2 linked regions of the Struthio camelus genome follow. The protein of the gene in region 1 purifies or fractionates together with the protein of each later gene. This does not show direct contact. Links are inferred from orthologs where the notes say so. Each region holds a gene or a part of one and is shown on either strand. Other genes may lie near its edges.

Region 1 (9,493 bases):
GGCTGTTGTAGGCATTGCCAGGGTTCCTGTCTCCGGGGGAACGGACCCAGACTGGGGCTGGGGTCTGGAGTGTGGGAGCTTGAGCCAGGCAGGTGTGAAGGGTATTTCTGTGTTGGAGGGCAAACCTAATGCAGACAGAGGCAGCCCAACCCGTGCAGTTCTTCAGGCATCTCTGCAAAGTATGGAAGAAGGCTGATGCAACGAAACAGCTGGCTTTCTCTGAAGAACCTAGTGCGTTAGCACTGGCTCCTTTCCCAGGGAAACGTGATACACTTGCACTCAGAAGAGAACCATGTTTATCGTTTGATGAAGGGCTCAGGGTCAGCTGAGCATTTAGCCTCTGAGGCAGGCCCAGAGCTGCCAGGCAGAATGGGCACGGTCAGACCTGAGCCAAGGACAGAGATCCAGATCTCTTGCTGTTTCGTGTGGAATCGCTTCCTTTTGCCAGTTCAGGCTGCTCTGTCTATTGAGGAAGCCTGTGTTGTGTCCTGGGCCTCCTGACTTCTTGCTGCCACCTAGATCACTGCGGGCTTTTAGTCTGAGGAGCTAAGGGAAGCTATCTGGATCCCTTAGCAGAAAGCAAACTCTGAACTTTAGGAAGGTGCTATTCTCTTTGCGCTTGAAATAAGGCAAACACAGTTAATCCAGACATTCTGGGTCTCTCTGAAAGAGCAAGTAAAAAACATGTCTGCTTTTAGGGGGGAGATGATGTTCCCTGCTCCAGGCTCTCGCTGGCATTTTCGCAGAAGTGATGGGGACAGTTAATTCCTCTGGCAGCAAGAACTTTCTCACTCGTGCCACCCTGAAGTGACTTAGGCATTGTTTGGTAGTGCCTATCCCATATATGGACTATCTCAAATGTGTTGCTGCTGGGAAATAGCTCTGGAGCTTGTGAGGGCTAGAATCTGGGAAGCTCCAAACTGGGGCTCTGCATCTCAAGGAGTGAATCCTTAGTGCTGTTGTCTGGTTTCTGATGAGCTGAATATATATAAGAACTGAAATCAAAGCCATGGAAGACTAATGCTGCAGTTTCTCCTTATTGCAGCTGGTGAAACTGGCAAAGCGTCTTAAGAAAGAGAAAGTCAACGTTGACATAATCAACTTTGGAGAAGAGGTGAGACTTCTCCCCTGTTCCTTTTAATTCAGATCCAAGCCAGGGTTTTGTATCCTTTCCAGCCTGTAGATCTTGCTTGGGCACATGAGTGAAAAAAAGGAACAGTTCTCTGAACCTCAGTCTCTTTAGCAGCTGTCTCAATAAAAATGCTAATGTCAGGAGTAAGAGACCTCTCCCATTTCACTGCAAGCATTGTTGAATGCTTTTCTCCTTAAAGGAAATACCAGAGCCACTCATGTGCCTTTGAGTGGCGTTTCTGACCCCTCACTCCTTGTCTTGGGATCAGCATCACATGTTGCTCTGCTCTGATCCGGGCACTGTTGGGGGTTTTTGTTCACGGGGAGAAAAGTAGCTTGCAAGAGGATAATACAGCCAAGGCATGGCTTTCCTGCTGGGAGGGCTGCGCAGCCGCCCACTACTGGGCCTCTGTGACAGATGGCAGCCCCCAGGGATGAAGCGTGGCATAACCCCAAGCCGCTTGTACAGCTCTTGGTTACCCTGTACTGTGAGAGCTGTAGAGAGTGAGCCAAGGACTGGGAGGACGTTGGGGTGTGTAGAGCGACCTGCTGCCTGTCCCTCACAGAGCTGATGAGGGAGTCAAATCAGTCTCTAATCCCAGCTTTTCTCTTTGACTGTAGGAAGCCAATACAGACAAGCTCACTGCCTTCATTAACACCTTAAACGGCAAGGATGGGACTGGCTCCCACTTGGTGACAGTGCCTCCGGGGCCGAGCCTAGCCGATGCCCTCATCAGCTCCCCCATTCTGGCTGGGGAGGGCGGTGCCATGCTGGGCCTTGGGGCCAGCGACTTCGAGTTTGGTGTGGATCCGAGCGCAGACCCAGAATTGGCTCTGGTAAGCGATGAGGAGACAGAGGGTGATGGTGAGCATGAGCTTGGGATGTCAGAGCTCTGCCCAGCTCATCTTTGCACTGTCCCTGTCTCCACAGGCCCTGCGGGTCTCCATGGAGGAGCAGAGGCAGCGGCAAGAGGAGGAGGCCAGGAGGGCTGCAGCCGCCTCTGCGGCTGAGGCTGGGATCGCAGCCACTGGTGGGGACGGTAAGGAACTGGACAGGGAATAAGCTTGCTCAAGGCAAGTGTGTAGGGCGAGGCAGCATGCTCCCCAGGGAGCACATCTACACCCAGCCAGTGGGAAGGGGTGCCCGGACTCCTGTAGCTGCGCTCAGAGGTGTGGGGCTGCCCCGACACCGTGGCATGTAGGCTCTGTTCATGGCAGGGCTCTTCTGTGCAATTTTGCTGTTCCCAGAGCCACCACGGTGAAACGTGAGGGGCTTTCTGGCCTGAATCATTGGACTTGCCTCCAATCAGGCTGTTTAGCCTCAGCATTTGATGCAGATCCAGGCCTGGGAGCTACATCCTACTTCTTCTGAAACTCCCCTCTGTTCCCAAATGGAGATAGATCCCCCTGTCTCATGAATGCTGCAGGGAGCTGCTGTGCTCTAGCCCCCTTCCCCATAGCTGTGTGTGTAAATGCACAGCTGCATTTACAACAGTGGAAGCGGTTCTCGTGCTGCTGGTCATGCCATGGGAGTGCCCTTGTCACCTAGCGACTCAGAGCAGCTCTCCTGGCTGGTTCCTGAGTGCGGGGTTTTGTCCGTGCAGATTCAGACGACGCTTTGCTGAAGATGACGATAACTCAGCAGGAGTTTGGCCGAGCTGGGCTGCCTGACCTCAGCAGCATGACGGAGGAGGAACAAATTGCCTACGCCATGCAGATGTCACTGCAGGGAGCGGGTGAGTGGCTGGGTGCCGGCGCTCATCTCATTCTCAGCTGACTTGCCCCAGAACAAGGGTGAAGGGGCAAGTCCTCCATATCTGGGACTAGAACCGCTGTCCCCTACACACTGACATGCCCTGAAGTGGGGAGTTGTCGCCTGGACAGGGCCTGAATCTCCCTGAATGCCTGTGAAGTGTGTACCTGGGCCGCTCAACTGTGACCTCTGTCCTCCACCATGTCCAGACTGGGGCTGCAGGTATGTAAATCCTCTGTTCTGAGCTGTTTCTCTCCTCTCAACAGAGTTTGCCCAGGCAGAGGCGGCAGAAGTGGACAGCAGCACAGCCATGGACACATCTGAACCCGCTAAGGTGATGCTTTGCCATCCTGGTCTGTCTGGAAAGGCCTGACCCAGCATCCCTGAGCCCCTCTCTGCTTGTGCTCAGCCCTGGGGCCAGGTTCCTTGTTATGTGCTGCCTCCATCCCTTCACCCTACAGACTTGCCTTGAGCTTCAGCTTCCTGGGTCACTAGGACCCACCCTTTCCCTGGCAGAGTCTGTCCTGCTGAGGGGCACATCCATGACCACATCCCAGCCCATCCCTGACTCCTCTCTCTCTCCCTGCAGGAGGAAGATGACTACGATGTGATGCAGGACCCCGAGTTCCTGCAGAGCGTGCTGGAGAACCTGCCTGGCGTGGACCCCAACAACGAGGCCATCCGCAACGCCATGGGCTCCCTGGCCTCACAGGCCTCCAAGGAGAGCAAGGACAAAAAGGAGGAGGAGAAAAAGTGACAGCGCTGGGGCTGGGTCTCGCTGATGGGCGGGCAGTGAGTCGGTCACACACTTCATCGCTTCAGCGTAGCCATTGCCCCTGGGGCAAGCGTGGAGGAGCCCCAAGCGTGTGAGGGGACAGGGTAGGTCTGGGTTTTCTTGATGTAACAGGTTAATAAAAGCATTTAAAGTTGCTGTCGCTCCCTTTTGGGCCAGCTGGGGGAAGGGGCTCCCCAGTTGTCCCCAGTGCTGGGGGAACTAGGCCCTGGGGCCCCACCTCCCTTAAGGCCTCGGTGCCAAGCCCCGCCCCTTGCACCACCTCCCGGCATGCCCTGCTCCAGCCCTCGCCAGCGCTGAGGGACTGTTTACACAGCCCTAGGGGCGGCATGAGCCGTTGATGAGCAGTGGAGTCAGCCAATCAGTGGGGTTTGCAGGTGGATGTTGTTGCTCATGGGGCTCTGGGTGCGGCCAATGGGGGATTGAGGTGGGGGGGAGGGTGGGATGAGGTGGACTTTTTTATTGAGTGGCGGCCATGCAGCTCCATGAGAGGCAGGGCTTCATTGTGAGCGGCAGGGGGAACAGCCAGTTGGAAAATTGAGAGGGAGGAGCACGTGTGCATGACAGGGCTCTATGCTAGTGGGGCTGGGCCCTGTCGTTCCCTGCCAGCCTACGGGTGGGTGGGGGGGCAGTCAGCCCCCGTCCCTGAGTGACAGCATCCCTGGCAAATAGGAGATGGGGGTCAGCCCTCCTCTGAGAGCCTTCAACCAATTGGACCGGTCGATGGGCGGGCCCTCATGTTGATCGACGAACCTCTCGGTCAATAGAGATGCAATAGCAGGGAGACGCCCAGTCGGCCACGGCTCATGACCAATAGCTGCGAGAATCGCTACTTGAAGGACAGCCTCCTTTAGCCAATGGGGAGCTGCATCGGGAGGGCTGGCGTGATGAGCCCAGCAGTCAGCCAATAAACAGCGAGGCTGCCCTGTGGGTGTGGCATCGCCAGCGGCCAATGGGAAATGCGGTAGCCGAAGTGGGCGGAGACCAGCCTTTGAATGGCATCTCCATCCCCCAATGAGCACACGCCACGGGAGGCGGGCCCCAGCCGCGGAGTAGTCGCCCGCTACCCCAATGGCGAGTGCGAGAAGCCGAGGCCGCCTGAGAGCGACGGCCACGACGGCAAATGGGAAGGCACGTGGCGGCGAGTGACGGGCGGCTCCGCCAACGGCGCGGCGCGGGTGGGGGCGGGCGTGCGGCGCGCGAGCGGCCGCCGGCGGAGGGAAGGGGGCGCGAGCGAAGCAGGAAGTGGTTGAGGCGAAGCGGTCGCCGCGGAGGGGCCTGGGGCGGGAGCCACACGCCTCCCCCGACCCCCGCTTGAAGCAGCAGGTACCGCCGCCGCCGGGCCCGGTCTGAGGGGCCCCCGGCCCGGGGGGGGACCGCGAAGAAGGGCCAAGGGGCGCCCGGGCCTATGGGGGGGCGGGACGGGCCACCCCAGTCTGAGCGGGGCTGGGCGCGGGTCCCCCAAAATCCTGGGGTTTGGGGGGGTCCGTTACCTCCCCCGAGATCTTGGGGGGAGGTGGGGGACATCCACTTCTCCCTCTCCCGGGCTGGAGAGTTCATCCCCTCCCGAGGGGGTTGGGCTTAGGCATCCCTGTCCCCCAGGATTGGGGGGTAATGGTCACCTCCCTTCAGAATTTGGAGGTAACAGTCACACTTCCTCCCTTGGGGTGTGTTGGGGGGGGGTAACGGTCCTCCCCTTCCCCCTCGGGGTTTGGGGGGATAACGGTCATCCTCCTAGCATTATGGAGGGATAGCGCTCATGCCCTTTCCCTCCTCGGGATTTGTGGAGTGGGTGGAGGTTATCCTCTGCCACTCCTTGTTTTTTGGGTGGGGGATATAAATGGTCATGTGCCCCTGTATTTCCTGGGGGCCTGGTCACACACCTTCCCCCAGCCTTGGGGCTTTTGGGGAGCTGATTTTGGCTCCCCTCCCCCCTATCTCTTGTAGCCTGGCCATGTTCCCCCAGCCCTGGTGATGGGGGCACTTGTCCATTCCCCCTTGCAGCTCTTGGGGACTCCTTGGAAATGGGAGGGGAGCTGGCCATGGTCCCCTGTACTTCCTGGGGGGGGGGGGGGGGAGGATCTCATCCTGTTCCTACCCTACTCCAGTTTGGGATATTGGGGCGTTTGGTCGTGTTCCAACCCCCCCCCCCCCAGCTCCTGGGAGAGCATAGTCCTGCCTCTCCTTCTCCGCTCTGGGACTTGAGGTGTTGTCACACCCTACCAGAGCTCTGGGGGCATGCTGGTCTTGGCCTTCTTCCCTCCTGCCCTGGGGGCTGAGTGGGGGGAGCCTTTCCCCACTGGCATGTGGTTCTGTGAGGGGCTGGCTGTGGGCTCCCCCAGCTCTTCAGGTGTAATACTCACCTCGCATCTCTTTTGGGAGGAGCACGTGCCCAAAAGAGGGGTGGCATTGTGCTCTCCTGCTCCTGGCTGCTTACAGATGGGATCCTTCACCTCCAGCTCCAGGAGGAGCTTTCATCTCCCCACCTCCCATGTGTCAGCGATGGTTAAAGCATGCACCTCCTCCATGTGGAGAGAAGCATCACTTTGTCCTCCCAGGTGGATTTGGTGGATAAGGGGATGGGTCCTGACCTCACCCAGTGCATGTGGCAGAAAGGACCTTACAAATAAGGTGGCGTCTTGGTTTGGAGCCCCATTTCCTGGGAGGGGTTCTTGCTCCTCCAGTTTCTGAGGAGCGGCCATGTGAATAAGAGGCTGGTCCAGTTTTGAACCATGCAGAGCCACTCTGGTTTCTCTAGGTACCTGTGCCTGAAGATGGCAGTTGAGAATGAGATGTGTGGGTCTCTTATCACACCTCCAATGTCCTGGAAGGATGGTGCTGTGCCTCCCTTATTGTGTAGGTTTTAGGGAGGAAGGATCTTGCTATTATCCTGGTTTTAGTTTTGGAGAGAATAAGGAAGGCTTGGGGAGGATCTTGTTGTAGTCTTCATAATGGCAACACATGTGTTTTAGGAAGAAAGAGGAGGGCAGGAGGGCCTGTGCTAGCTATCTCCCTACCTTGGGATGGTTGGGAGGATTTGGGCTCACAGGCCAGCCCTCTAGGAGGGCTTGGCGTGGATCCAGATGCAAGAAAGGGAGGGCAATGAGCTGGGAGAAGGCTTATAGAGAGGTGGGCATTGTGTCTCCATCCACCCTGACTTCCAGCAGGGGATAACTGGGAGCAGTGAAGTCTCCCAGGAGCTTCTGGCTGCCACTTTGCAGACACTTGAGGTGCTCTATGAGGTTCGGGGGAGGCTGTGCAGGTTTGGGGGCTGCTTTGGGACTGTGGGCAGTGAGGTGACCCTGCCCTGGGAGCTCCTTCCTGAAGGCCTGGGGAGGAGGAGGAGAAAGCAGAGGAGTCACAGGCCAGGGGGATGGACTTCCGTTGCAGAGAAGTCAAGCATTTTGGTGTGGCCGTTTCTTGTGGGTATTGGCCACTTCCTTAAGGGCCTCTTGTTTTTTTGTTTGTGAGAGTGAGGTTCAATTGGTAGTAACTGTTGTTTTCTCTCAAACCCAGTTTCTCCCTTTTCCTTCCTCCTCCCCTTTCTTGATCTCTGCCCCAAAAAGTCCCTTAATTCCTTGCTGCTGATCTGTCTGCGTGTAATCGTGTAACAGGCAGTCCTTGGGTGCTGTGATTATCTCCCCACAGTGAGTTTTATTCAAAGCAAGAAACTTTCTTTAAAAAGTGAGCAGAGAAAGTTTGATAGCCTTGACCTTTAAGTGTGTTTGATTTAAGCAGTTCATTTAGGAATTGAGACTTGTTACGGCCCTGATTTCTCTGCAGAGACCAATTTAAATCAATGGGACCTTGCAGAAATGTGAGAAGTGGGTTGTTGGAGATGTGATGTGAGCGTGGAGGTATTTCGGAAACTCCTCTGATGACCAGGAAGATCCTCCTGGTGTTGAGAGCGGTAGTAGTAACAATGCCTGAGATGCTCAACGTCTTGCAGGAATCAAGTCTGTCTATAATTTTCTGGGTTTATTCCCCTCTGATTAAGTTCTTCTAGGTCATCTATTCTAATCTGTACTTCTGCTAATGTGGGATTGCCCCCTACAACAAGTTTTGTAGAGCTTTAATTTATTTGTGCCATAAAACACCTAAGCACGCATCTGGGTGCTATAAAAATAATAATGTACTAAGAGCAAGCAAACACAGTGATGGCACGGGGCTGTTGTAGCGTGTGATGAGAGCGAGCGAACTCTATGTTCCCTTCCTTTTGGCATCCTGCATGGCAGATTTTCTAATTATACTGCTAGAATAAATGGGGTGTCCTGGCTGAGTTTGGAAACTTAATCCTGTAAAACTCGGTATGATGAAATAGCATGAATCGCATCACAATGGAGATAACTCTATTTCTGTTCTCTGACAATCTCAGAGCACTCAGTCTGTCTTGGGGATGGCTTAGCTGGAAATTACTAATAGCGTGCACTACCTGCGAGATCTCTAAGCGCTTCCACCAAGCAGGCAGGTCTTTCCCGTGACTTAGCACTGGAGGAAGGACGAGCCCAGCAGGCTATGTCTGAAGCGAGACAAGGATGCTCCGAAGGCTGGGCAGTGCTGCCAGAGATCATAATGGGGGTTGTTACTTGCTCTAGGTCCCAAATATCCTTATGACCTTGGGAAAAGCATCAGGTTAGGAGTCAGCTAGTTTGGGGACATGGATATCCTGGGTGAATCTCTGCCCCTTTTGCGCCTCTGTTCCCACCTGTGGACCTTTGGGGGCTGTCTTTTCTCTTCTCTGTGTTTTAGAAAATGGCAGTGTTCATTTGAGGAAGCTCGTGGTGCTTGCGTTGTTCTTCGCTGTTCTTGGTGTTGTCGGGGTAGGGTATTTATGCTGCAAGTGGAAGGAGGCTAAGCTGTGTTTCCTTTCCCCACCTGGAGCTTGCCCCTTCTCTGCCCTGAATGTGTACACCACCACTCTTGGCCTTCTCCAGCTCTGCCAGGCTAAATCGCAACGAGTGTGTGTGTGACTTGCCACTAGGGTAAACCATCTTGAGTATGTTATAACTGAGCAGCCTGTCTGATGCGGGAACCTGGCACTCTGCAGCCACGTAGACATCTGCGCTAGGAACATCTGTGCTTACCTGTGGACAGGACCTTGTCCTGCATCACCTTGGGGAAAGTTGCTCCTACCCTCCAGCCTGTAGCTTTGAATCGTGACGTGAAAATGAGCCTAGGTGAGGTGGGCGTCGTTTGGCAGAACACTTGGGGAGAGCTTGGTGATTCTCCCATGAAACGTCCATGCTGAACCAAGGAAGCCCTTGTCTACTGTGGATCCAGTTCACAGTGCTTAATCTGGGAACAAAAACTGTGTTACACAGTAACATGCACAGTAATGTTCAGCCCTGGAGGAATTTTGGGCACCTCACACTGGATGTTAGCGCAGAGCCTGGGACTCATCCCCCTTCCGCCACCTCCCCATGTTGACGCTGAGGCTACTTTCTGCTGATCAGCTCTACAAGAATGCCTGCCAGTGTTTAAAAACTTAATTTTTCAGGCTGGCCAAATTGTTGGGCTTACTGGATCTCATTCACCACTTGTTTGTTTTGATATCTCCAGAAGTTAGCAGATGGTAGAGACTTAATTCTGTTAAACGTATGGGAATCTAATCCTCGAGCAGCCTCCAGTCGGGATGTGTGTCATTGCTGTGCATGGCAGCTGGGCTCTGCTTGGGGACTGCGCCATGGCTCTGGCACTGGGCTGTAGGGCTCCTGTTCATGGTAGTTTTGGTGGATTTGCACCAGATTGCGAGGGGAAGAATAGAGTTTCCTGCTGGGTTCCCCAAATAAGCATGTTTTGAACTCAGTGAAAGTTAT
Region 2 (10,415 bases), on another chromosome or scaffold:
CAGTGTATTTAGCCTTTAGCTATGGCAATGGAACTGTTTATCATCTGGTTTACAGCACGGCTTATAGAACCTATGACTGAGTGATAAGAGGCAAACATAATTTTTAAGTTTAACTGAAAACATTTCACTGATCTGGTTTGCATGACTTCAGAAACAGTTGCGCTCATCTAACCGAGAGACTGATAAGCACATGGAAAGAAGTGAGTAGAGGGGAAAAACTAACCGGTTTCATTGCTGCAGAAAACGCAATATGCAACTACATCCTACACTGCCAATAGCAAATACATTTATTATGATGGCAAGCACTCCGTTATCTAGGACATAAATCAGAGATGGACAACAGGCATTAACTGAAAGTTAACATAAGAAAGGAGAATAAATTCTTGTATCTTTTACATTTTCTCTTAAACTGGATTTCATAGAGATGACTTACAAGGAAACGTAAACTAAAAAAGGAAAGCTATTTTTCCTCATGTTACACAACCTAACTGCTAAAAATATAAATAAGAACATACTGGAACATATAAAACCAGCACAAATTTACCCAGCTACAAAGTAAGCAAGTGGCACAACAAGGTAGAAGAACATCCTCTGTAACAAAAAAGGGAGGGGGAGGCAAATCATTTACGTACACGGGTTTGGGAGTGCACCTGTGAAATTAAGCAGCAGAGGAGTCATAATATTGAAGAGCACTTTTGAAAGAAATTCTCAGTAAGGAAAAAAAAAAAAAGTAGTGATTTTTCTGGCATACAAAATTGACTGTAAGACTGCACTGCAGTTCCATGAACAAGCTAAGCTTGCATAAGCCAGCACTACCATCAGGAAGAGCAATCTGGCCTTTCTCTTTACCACCAGTTGATTGTCTCTGCACCGCACGTGTCATCACAAGTAGCTGCACGGTAAATTGGACAGCAGAATTATATAAGTTAAAACTGACTCGGCAAAACAAGAGGGAGGAAAAACTATTAATTTTAACACAGATGAGTTTCCTAACCTGCTGCACTGGTCAGCTACACAAAGTCTTGTGTCTGCTTGAGGGGAAGAACAAGCAGCCAAAGCAGCAAAAACAACTTAAAACACTCATTCAGCGAAAGTGCAAAGAATTCACTGACAACTGTTTGCTTCTAGCAGACAGAGAAAATATAGTTACGTAGGTATTGATGCCATCAGCATCTTGCTAAAACAACGATGCTTGCTTTCAGTCAGTTACGACTCAGGACCCACAGCAACAGGCTCCTTTGTGGCACAGCATTCAGACAGCACCATGGTACGTCCTGCAGACCCCTTTATTAGGGGACATGCCTCTTCCCTGTCACTGCCCATGTCAAAAGAGAGCTTCCTGACAGCCTTAGCAATACCGAAGTGGTCAACAATTCTGCCCTCACTGTGCTGTTTTTGGAGCGAGAGAATGACTGCAGGCTCCGAGAGAAGCCTCGTTACAAAATGCAGAACAGCTCAAATCGCAAAGACAACAGAAGGAAAAATCTGTAAGTTAAACAAAAGTATTGGTCACAACTCCATAACCTTGAGGTCTGTACTTTAACAAAGTATACAGAATACCCTCTACATCATTACTTAATTAACAAAATTCCTTAAGTACAGGAAGAATTCTTAAAAACTTGCAAGCAAGTTAGTCTAGAAGAATGACACAGTTTGCTTTTACAATACAGGCTCACTGCACTGCACTAACTGTTAGATTTATAGACAGCCACAAAGATACCTGAAGTTATGGTCCAGCTAAAAGGCAGTGAAAGGCAATTTTTCAATTTATGGTTTGTAACCACAGGGCTGCCCTTCAAAGTCTGGAGAAAAATATTCTTTCTGGAAGAAAAGAAAAAAAAAAAAGTGTTGCTCTCTGAGTTCACGGCAGCCTCCTTTCATTCTGAAAGGGGACTGAAATCATACTCAATTATCTCCTGAAGATATATTAGGACAGTAGCTTTTGTGAGGATAAGCTACTTTTCACGCACTTTGGGAGAAGAAGGTGGCAGGTAACCTTGCTAAAGCCCATCACATTAGCTATTACTTTTTCTGGTTGTCTGTTAAGCCGATAACATACCACAAATGTTCCACTCTGCTGGAAGTACGGGAGCTCCATTAAGCGGTATCTGTGGCCACCCTACCACAGAACGCAAGCAACAACGGAAATTGTTTTAGAAGGACGTCACACGAAATTTTTCTGAGATTGCACTAGTGGCTTAAAAAGAACCGTGCACAATGAAAGTGCAGTTTCTTTCAAAGACAAAGTCCACTCTCTCATCAAGAAAAGCGCTGGGACTAGACACACAAAGGCTGCTGTATAAAGATTCTCAGGGAAGGAAGAAGAAAGAAAATAGCAGTTATGTACTAAATTTAACAGCCCCTTCTCAGTATGTTATAATCAGAGTGGATCTCATTACAAACTTCTAAAGACTTCATAATAATTAGCAAAGTTAAGGTATAAAAAAGCACAATTAAGGTGGAAAAACAACCATGCATAAGAATTTCCTTTAAAGAAATTCTTATAATTTAATTTATTACATACTAACGCTAATTTCTAACTCTAACATACCTATTGTTTTTTGGATGGCCTCATGGATATAGGCAATTGAATGCCACCTAGAAAAGAAAACCTGTATTTACTCTGATGTCACTACACAGCCCTGAGTAAATCATTAAAGAGGTAGTCAGCTGTAAAAAGTTTCATTTGTACATTCTTTAGTTCGTAAGTGTACAATCTAAGGTACCACAAGTTGGATCTGGAAACCTGCCACTGACAGCTGCAGCTGAAATCACAGCAAGCACAAAATGCTCTGAAAAACATTGATTTAAAAAAAAAAAAAATAGTAGTCATTCAGTGCCCCAAAACTCAAAACCTAAAAATAATTTCACTTTAATATAGAGAGGAAATCAAGACCAGAAGGCAATGGGGATAACAGCTGTGTAGGCATGTTCAGTAACACTTATGAAGCACTCAACATAGTGTCTTGATAAACGTCACAAAAAATACTCAAAAACATCAGTAGTTTTGTTTGGTTGTCAGAGTTTGTATTACACATAATAAATATGGTACAAAGCCTACATGGTGAACAATGAAATATAGGTTTCATTCAGTAACTACTGTGTGCTTTTCTGCGGTGAATGAGACAGAGGTCTAGCACCAAAAAAAATTTGTCAATAGAATGAAAGGCTGTACAGAATTTATTTTTTTAATATTATACTTATGGCAACAAAACCGTTTATCACCTGTTACATAGAACCATCGTTCCTCTGCATAAGAAGTGAATGCTGTCCCAATCTACAGATAATTTTTGCATCAAAAACGGACATGCAGAACGTTTAAGTTATACTATAAAAAGCACACAAGTCTAGTCAAACAAACACAATAAAAAGAAAATAATCAAAAGCTACACTGGAATCTAGTCTGCAAAATTTTAAACTTTCAGATTTATTCTGAGTAGAAATGAGATATTCTGCTAATTATGCTTGGGTTTAACTAATATTGGCTTACTCTTCTTCCTATAAAAGAGGTAAGCTTCACCACCAGAGCAAAAATACGCTGGGGGAGCTGCACAGTACCTCCAAATACCAGTAGACTTACCAGCTACTTACAGAAGCACAACTCCTGTGTTCATACAAAGTCTGAGCTAAGACAAATGGAATTTAGAGACTGAATTCCAGAAAACACACTTTTTTTTTTTTTAGAACAGCAAAGACACACAAGGCAACCTCATTAAAAAGTAACATATACAAGATACATAAGAAGTTCTACATATGCGAATGAATCCTAAAATGAATGTTTTATCCCAGGTGCAAGCATTTACTCTCCTCCTTAAAAGCTAACTAAAAAGCCTTTTTCACCTCAGCTCCCAAGGGCCTAGTTATTTTTTTTTTAAATCAGTTCTGCATTTCACATATTAACTTTCATATCATAGACATAATTTATTACACATCAACACTGGATTTGTCCAACATTTAGAAGGAAATTGTCTGACTGTTGCTGACTCCTTTCTCCACTCTATTCCTGCACAGTATCCTTAACAGTTTCAGAAGTGGGTCAAGATAAAAATAAAAAAGACATCTGCAGGGAAGTATCTTCTCTGAGAATCTAAAAGCATTTGCATTTTTAAAATAACCTGATTTTACATCTCAGCCAACTGATGTTAAAATGTTTCAGGAAAGTATTTAAGTTATCTATTAATTTACAAAGCCCTACCACACACTCGACACCAGCCTAATAGACTCACACGGCAACACACAACAGTTTTGTCCCAAAGGTAGGGAAAAGATGTCTAAAAGAGAACAGCCACAACCCAAGAAACTAATAAGCTGCTTGCATATAGAAATAAACTGTACGGTAACTTTCAAATGCAAAGGGAAAGAGAAATTCAGAAACTAGTCTGAGATTGTGAAATCTTGCGTTTTTCTTCAGGTCATCCGTCACTACCGAGCTGACTCAGCAACAGAGGGAGCAGCGGTGCAAAGGGCGCCTAAGCAGTTTTTAGCTACCATTTGGTTTAAGCCTGCTTAAAACATCAGTGGCTGCCTGAAGCCCTCTTTGCAACAGTGCTCCTACATGCTTCACCACGTGGACGTCTGAACAGGGGGAAAAAAAAAAAAAAAGTAAATAACTCTCACACACGACCAAGAGACACACGAATTTGCTCTAAGCAAAGGGGTCTCAGGAGCTTTTTTATTCAAGGGAACGGAACTGAGTAAAAGGGAATTTACGGGAGGCTGCGAGGCGTGCAACAGATGCAGAGATGAAGGAAAGCTGGACGAAAAAAAAAGAAAACCAAACAAACGAAGAGCGAGCAGCAAAGCGGGAGCGAGCAAAGCCGAAGCTCCTGTCGAGACGCGGAGGGGGGCGCGGGCAGGGTGCCAGGCAGCCAACAGGCCTCCGGGCAAAGAGGCACCGGGGCACAGCCCGGCAGGGAAGAGGGGAGAGGGCAGAGCTGCGCAGCGGCGGCGCGGAGGCGAACGGCGGGGATGTACGGGGCGGAGCTCCGCGGAGGTAAGCCGGAGCGCCGCGCTGTCGCCTCGCGTCCCTGCGCGGCTCGGCGCCCACCGGGCCCCTCACCCTGCTCCGGTACCTCGAACATTAGCCCCAGCAGGAGGCCCACCGCCAGGCAGGACACGGCGTCTGCATGGTTCTGGATGACGAACTCGTGGCTCAGCATTGCCGGGCTCCTGGCTTTCCGGCGGAGCCCCATGGCGGTGGACGGCGCCCAGGGCCCCGGCGGCCCCGCCGAGGGGAGCAGCACCTCCCCACCCCCGCCCCGCGGCAGCCACTTTCACCTCCCGCCCAGTAAACGCCGCTGCTCCCAGGGCCCGCCTCCCACCCTTGGCCAGCCAATCAAGCTGAAGACGACCTCTAACTAGCAGCCCTAGCAGCCAGTCGCGAGGCGGCCGGGAGGAGCGGTTTCCAGGGGGGCGGTACTTCAGCGGCAGTCGGGCACTCACGACTGGAGTCGGGGGTCCGACATGAGTGACGCGGGATTCATCCAGTCCCATGTGCGGATGGGTGGGGCTTGCTCAGGAGGCCCCCCCCACAGATAGTGGTCGGTGGGCGGGGCTTGGCTCAGCTGGCGTTCGGGGCGCGCCTTCGCCGTCTCTGCAGGTGGCGGCGGCTGTGGGGAGCGGGCAAGTCCGGTTTGGCCCGGCTCGAGCCGGTCTCCGTGGGGCGGGGCTGGGCTCGCCACAGCCCCGGGGACGACAGGGCGGCTTTGCCGCCGCAGGGCCCGCGGGGAGCGAGACAGGTCGGGCGGCCAGCTCCCCTCACAGGCCCGAGGAGCGCCGCCTGCGCAGGTGGCGGGCGCCGCCCTCAGAGCCGGCTAGCGGCTCCTCGCCCCGCTCTCCGCCTCCGAGCGGGCAGTGGTCGCTCACCACCGCTAGGCAAAAACGGAAAAGCTGTTGGGAAATCCCCACCTTACCCTCCTTTTTTATAATTTCCATTGAAATGGAGGGGGAGGGGCTAAAAGGTGCTTTGAGGCCCTAGAGATGTGAGGATTTGGCCACCTGCAGGCTCTAGCTGGAATTCAAGGGGGAAAGCAGACCGGTTGACCAAAACTGTGACCGAGGCAGGGGAAGGCCGGAGGGGGTGATGGCATCACAGAGGAGAAGGTTGAAAGGGGAAAAAAGAACTTCGCTTCCATCTTGCACGCAGATGCCTCCCCTGCTGTGGGGAGCATAGCGTCTGCTGATTCCAGTGAAGGGATGATTCATCTGGAGCCAGCTGCTAAATAGGACCAAAAAATCAGTTCCGTTTTGAAGGTAGTTTTGCTACCTGTTGATTTTTAAATGTTTTAGGCTCACTGAAGCGGTTTCTATGTGCCACAGAATTTCCTTTCTGTTATGCTTTCTCCTAGTTAGTCAGTTTGACAATACTCATGCTCCTGTTTCTACCCTCATTTTGAGTTTCAAGGTAACGTATTCAGAAGCTGCATTTTATGTGTGAATTTAAGCATTGCTACAGAGCGCTTGTACAATACGGACGTTTGGTGAGGCAACGGCCATGCATATGCTTTACCTCAGCCAAAAAGAGGGATTCTTAAATAAAAATACTTGCAGTAAATCATTTACAAACCATTATTGGTTTCTTGATGAAAAGGAAATGATAAAATAGCAAGACTTAATTGTTTATTATAATTACTATTTTTCTTTTTTCTTAAGCTAAAAAGAGTATCCCCAATTGAAATTGTAACTATGATTCAAAATTTTTTTCCCTTCTTCTGGAAACATATTAGAGATAGGGGCAAATAATGCCAAATAGAAATGGGAATTTGCAGTACCAAGAAACACAAGCCTGGAATGTGGTTTTGCAACCCAGAATATACCCCTTTAATATAATTTGCACCGTTTTTGTCCCATATCGGTGAGCAAGCTAGTCTGTATTTTTATGAACTGGGAACATGACTTTCTAGAAGAAAAAAGCTATAGGGCTCTATATTTTTATGGATTTTTTTATTCATTTTATTTGGATTTTTATATTTTTACGTTCTATGTTTATAGCTTTGTAGATAGTCTCAGCATAAACTTCAGCTCTCATATATTTGCTCAAGTTCCAAACAAGCAATGTTGTTTGACTTTTTATTTTGAAACAAAACTAAAGAAATTTAGGAGCAGATAACTTTTATTACCGATTCCCCACTTGCATCGATGCATGTTTTCTTACAAGAAACTCAATTTTAATACATGACCTAAGTAAGATTTGTAATTAATCTAGTAATATTTTTTCAGAAAAATGAATCTTGAGGCATATTTGCTAGGTATAAAACTGATTTAGACAATGAGATACAATGAGGCAGTCAGATATGATAATTTACAGTAATATTAAACGAGTATTTGAGTTCAAGTACCTGCTCCTAGAGATATCTACTGACTTCTGCCTTTGTACATTTACTAACTTAAGTTTCTAATATAGATATACTCTGTGCACAAGAGGAGCTAACAGTTGTCTAAACTGATTATTTGAATTGACAAAAGTCTTGAACCTACTTTGGAGTTAAAAACATTGTGTCTGGGAGGCAAGAGGAAAAAAAAAGGCGCTCAAGTGAAGTCTCAGACCACCTTTTCACCTGTTAGAACCCTGTGGAACCCTCTGTTCAAGTTCTGTTTTTCTCCTCTGGCAGTTGAGGGCAACATCATGTTAAGGTAATGAAGTGAAATGACCCTTTCGTTCCAATGTGTGTATGATGCGCGTCTTGAAGAAGACTTGAGATTGCTGAGCTCTGTCTTTGGCAAGTAAGTAAACTCTATTGTTTAACGCACTATATAAATACATATAAAGAGGTCAGTGAAATGCCATACTTCTGTTGCTTACATTTACTTACTTTTCTCAGGTGTCTTTTCAGAAGTTATATTTACGATTTGAAAACTGACAAAACTGGGTGGGCCTGCCAAAAGACAACCCACTTACTTGTTGGTTATCTACTTTCCTGCCTGGTTCATAATTCTGTATCTATATTATTTAAGCTCTAAGTTCCAGGTTTAAAGTCTCAAGTATTTTACCTCTTTGATTCCACAACTTCTGCGTTATACATGGGCATCTTCTCATCAGTATTTCTAAATTATGTCACTGTCATGGCAACAGCCTTTCCCCCTCATCCCTTTTTCTGGTAGAGCAGAGTAGGTTCTTCTAGAATACATTAATGAGTACTGGTAGTTCATTAATTAATTTGAAGGTTGCTTCAGTTTTTTTTGGCTCCTAGTGGGTCATTTCCATTGTCCTCTCCTTTAAACAAATTAACTTAGCCAAGAAAGCTGTTGTTTCCTTTTTTACTTGTTTTCATAGATATTTTCTCTGTTAAATAAATGAAACAAAAAAGCTTAACCTGCAGTTTAAACTTTTCTGTAGTTGTATCATTACACTTATTAATGCTATTTGCAGAGCTGTAGAAATCAACCAGAGACCTGCTTGACCATGCTGAAGTAGCTAAGAATGACCAACCTGACTCCTTTATTTTATGCTTCAGTTAAATAAGATGAGTTAATTCAGAATTGGAGTAAATTCAGGGAAGAAGAAAGCACTAGTCATTTTCGTGGGGTAAGTAAACCCAATTTAAAAATCACTAGGCAAATACATTCAAACTGGTTGCATGATTTCCTTTTGTGTGTGTGTGTGGGGGGGGGGGTGTTAAAGGGCCAGCCAACATGGAGGGGGGGTATTTTGTTGTTGGCTTTTTTTGTATTAGGCACCGTATAAACACTGAGTAGCGTAGAGACCGCATCTAGCAGAATTTAGGATCTAAATAGACAAGCTAGATTCACTATGGGGAAGAACCATGCCTCGTAAGCAGTAAATAGTCCACTGGCACCAAAACACGTTAATTTTGTTCTTCTGGGACTTTCTGGGGAGGAGAGAGATTACATAGGAAAAGACAAGCTGGGGAAAACAGAAGAGGGCCACAGACACACATGGTAAAGCATTAGGAAAGAAGGACTGGAGCAAACCACCAAGGGAAAAACAGTCTTAGGCAAGCCTGTCTGCAAATGTTGGACTGTCATATCCCTGCTTTTACTGCTGCTCCTCCTATGGGTGATTTCCTTCTGCAGTCTTCAGCTGTAGTTATATGGCAGGAGGAGAGGAAGCATCATTTGAGTGTGACTGAAATGAGGGTGATCTCCCTTGACTTGTTCTGGGCCCAGGAATATTTGAGGGTAGGGGGTTGATCTGTTTGAGCCTGTTTTGCTCTCTGTCTGTTCTTAATACACAGGATTTACAAGGCAAAGTACAAAAGGATCAGGATTTCTAGGCCATATTTTTGTAAAATATTCTCTTTACACCAAACTTTCTGCCTGGAGAGAATCTTCCTAAAGCTAGTGGAATTCCAGCGTATGTGGCAGGAAAGGTCCTACCTTAGTTTGAGAAGGATATGGCAGATACAAGATATGAGGAAGTAGAAGACATGCATGTCTGATGTTTTCTCTATCCTTTGCCTAAAGGAAAACACTTGAGTGGGACAGGCTTATTTTAAACATTTGGCAATTAATAGCAAGAAAAATAAAATGCCACAGCAACAAAATAAAAATAGTTCTAGTTAAAATAAAAACTGTTCTAGTTAAACAATAGTAGCTGAAATGAAAATTACAGGAGCCTAACAATCTTTGTCCATTTGAGAATTAAAGAATTAGCTGGGCTCAGAAGGGAGTTTTTCTATTACAGTATAACTTCTCACAACGGGAAATAGAGTTTTGGCCCTTTCTCTGAAGTATACGATCCAGTCGTTATTGCAGAGTCAGGACTCTGAACTGGATGTATGATTGATATGTTTCTGCATGGTATTGCTTGCTTTTCTTTCCTTTTCATAAGGCACTACGAAGCAGACTCTGTAAAAATTAAAATTCAAGATTTAGTCATTGAGTAAAAATGCTTCTCAGTTTTGCAAAAATGGAACTGTGCAAAAAAGGGATAGCAGTTGTAGTATTAAAAATACGATAGTGAATTCGGAATATTCTGCGCTGCAATTTGAGAACAATCTGCCTGTTTCTTGAAGATCTGCTATCTCTGCAATAAAGGAAAACTGTTAGTAATGTACAGGGTAGGTCACATAACTGGTTTGAGGGAAGTGAAACAAGTATGGATTTGTGCCTCTGTCCTATAATTAAAATGCTCAATGGGAATCATACATCAAAAAAAACCTCCTCAAAATTAGACAGTAGTTGACGTCATTTTCCTGTAATATGTAGTTGAATGGCAACTTAAGAAAGGTGGGAAACAGGCTCTAGATTTTAGGTAGCGTATAAGAGTGAAAAGCTATCTTGTATGAAAAACAAAAGTAGAAATCCCGTTCAATGTCAGCATCTGGTAATCAATTACTGCCTCTTATATAACGATATGCAATTTCTGTGGTGACTGATTGCAGTTTTTATTTAGAATCTATTAAGTAAATGAATATTCTACTTGCAGAGCAGGTGGAACAACTGCTGCATACATT

Evidence for each region.
Region 2: the proteins of ZNF687 (region 1) and ZMYND8 purify together in Homo sapiens (affinity purification with mass spectrometry; 4 studies listed by BioGRID and IntAct, with this or other methods). This does not show direct contact. The link is inferred for Struthio camelus from reciprocal best matches to the Homo sapiens genes ZNF687 and ZMYND8.

Annotation. Positions count from the first base shown.
Region 1 is NC_090971.1:76,544-86,036, forward strand, and holds the start of ZNF687 (zinc finger protein 687), read left to right. Parts: upstream 1-4,707; 5' UTR 4,708-4,808; intron 4,809-4,867; exon of another isoform or gene 4,868-5,003; intron 5,004-9,493. Other genes in the region: putative PIP5K1A and PSMD4-like protein, read left to right, coding at 1,046-1,114, 1,753-1,968, 2,063-2,171, 2,736-2,867, 3,151-3,218, 3,474-3,641. UniProt on the Homo sapiens protein: May be involved in transcriptional regulation.
Region 2 is NC_090959.1:8,661,101-8,671,515, reverse strand, and holds the start of ZMYND8 (MYND-type zinc finger-containing chromatin reader ZMYND8), read left to right. Parts: upstream 1-6,001; 5' UTR 6,002-6,252; intron 6,253-6,356; exon of another isoform or gene 6,357-6,403; intron 6,404-7,610; 5' UTR 7,611-7,722; intron 7,723-8,368; 5' UTR 8,369-8,524; intron 8,525-10,415. Other genes in the region: translocating chain-associated membrane protein 1-like 1, read right to left, coding at 5,073-5,192. UniProt on the Homo sapiens protein: Chromatin reader that recognizes dual histone modifications such as histone H3.1 dimethylated at 'Lys-36' and histone H4 acetylated at 'Lys-16' (H3.1K36me2-H4K16ac) and histone H3 methylated at 'Lys-4' and histone H4 acetylated at 'Lys-14' (H3K4me1-H3K14ac).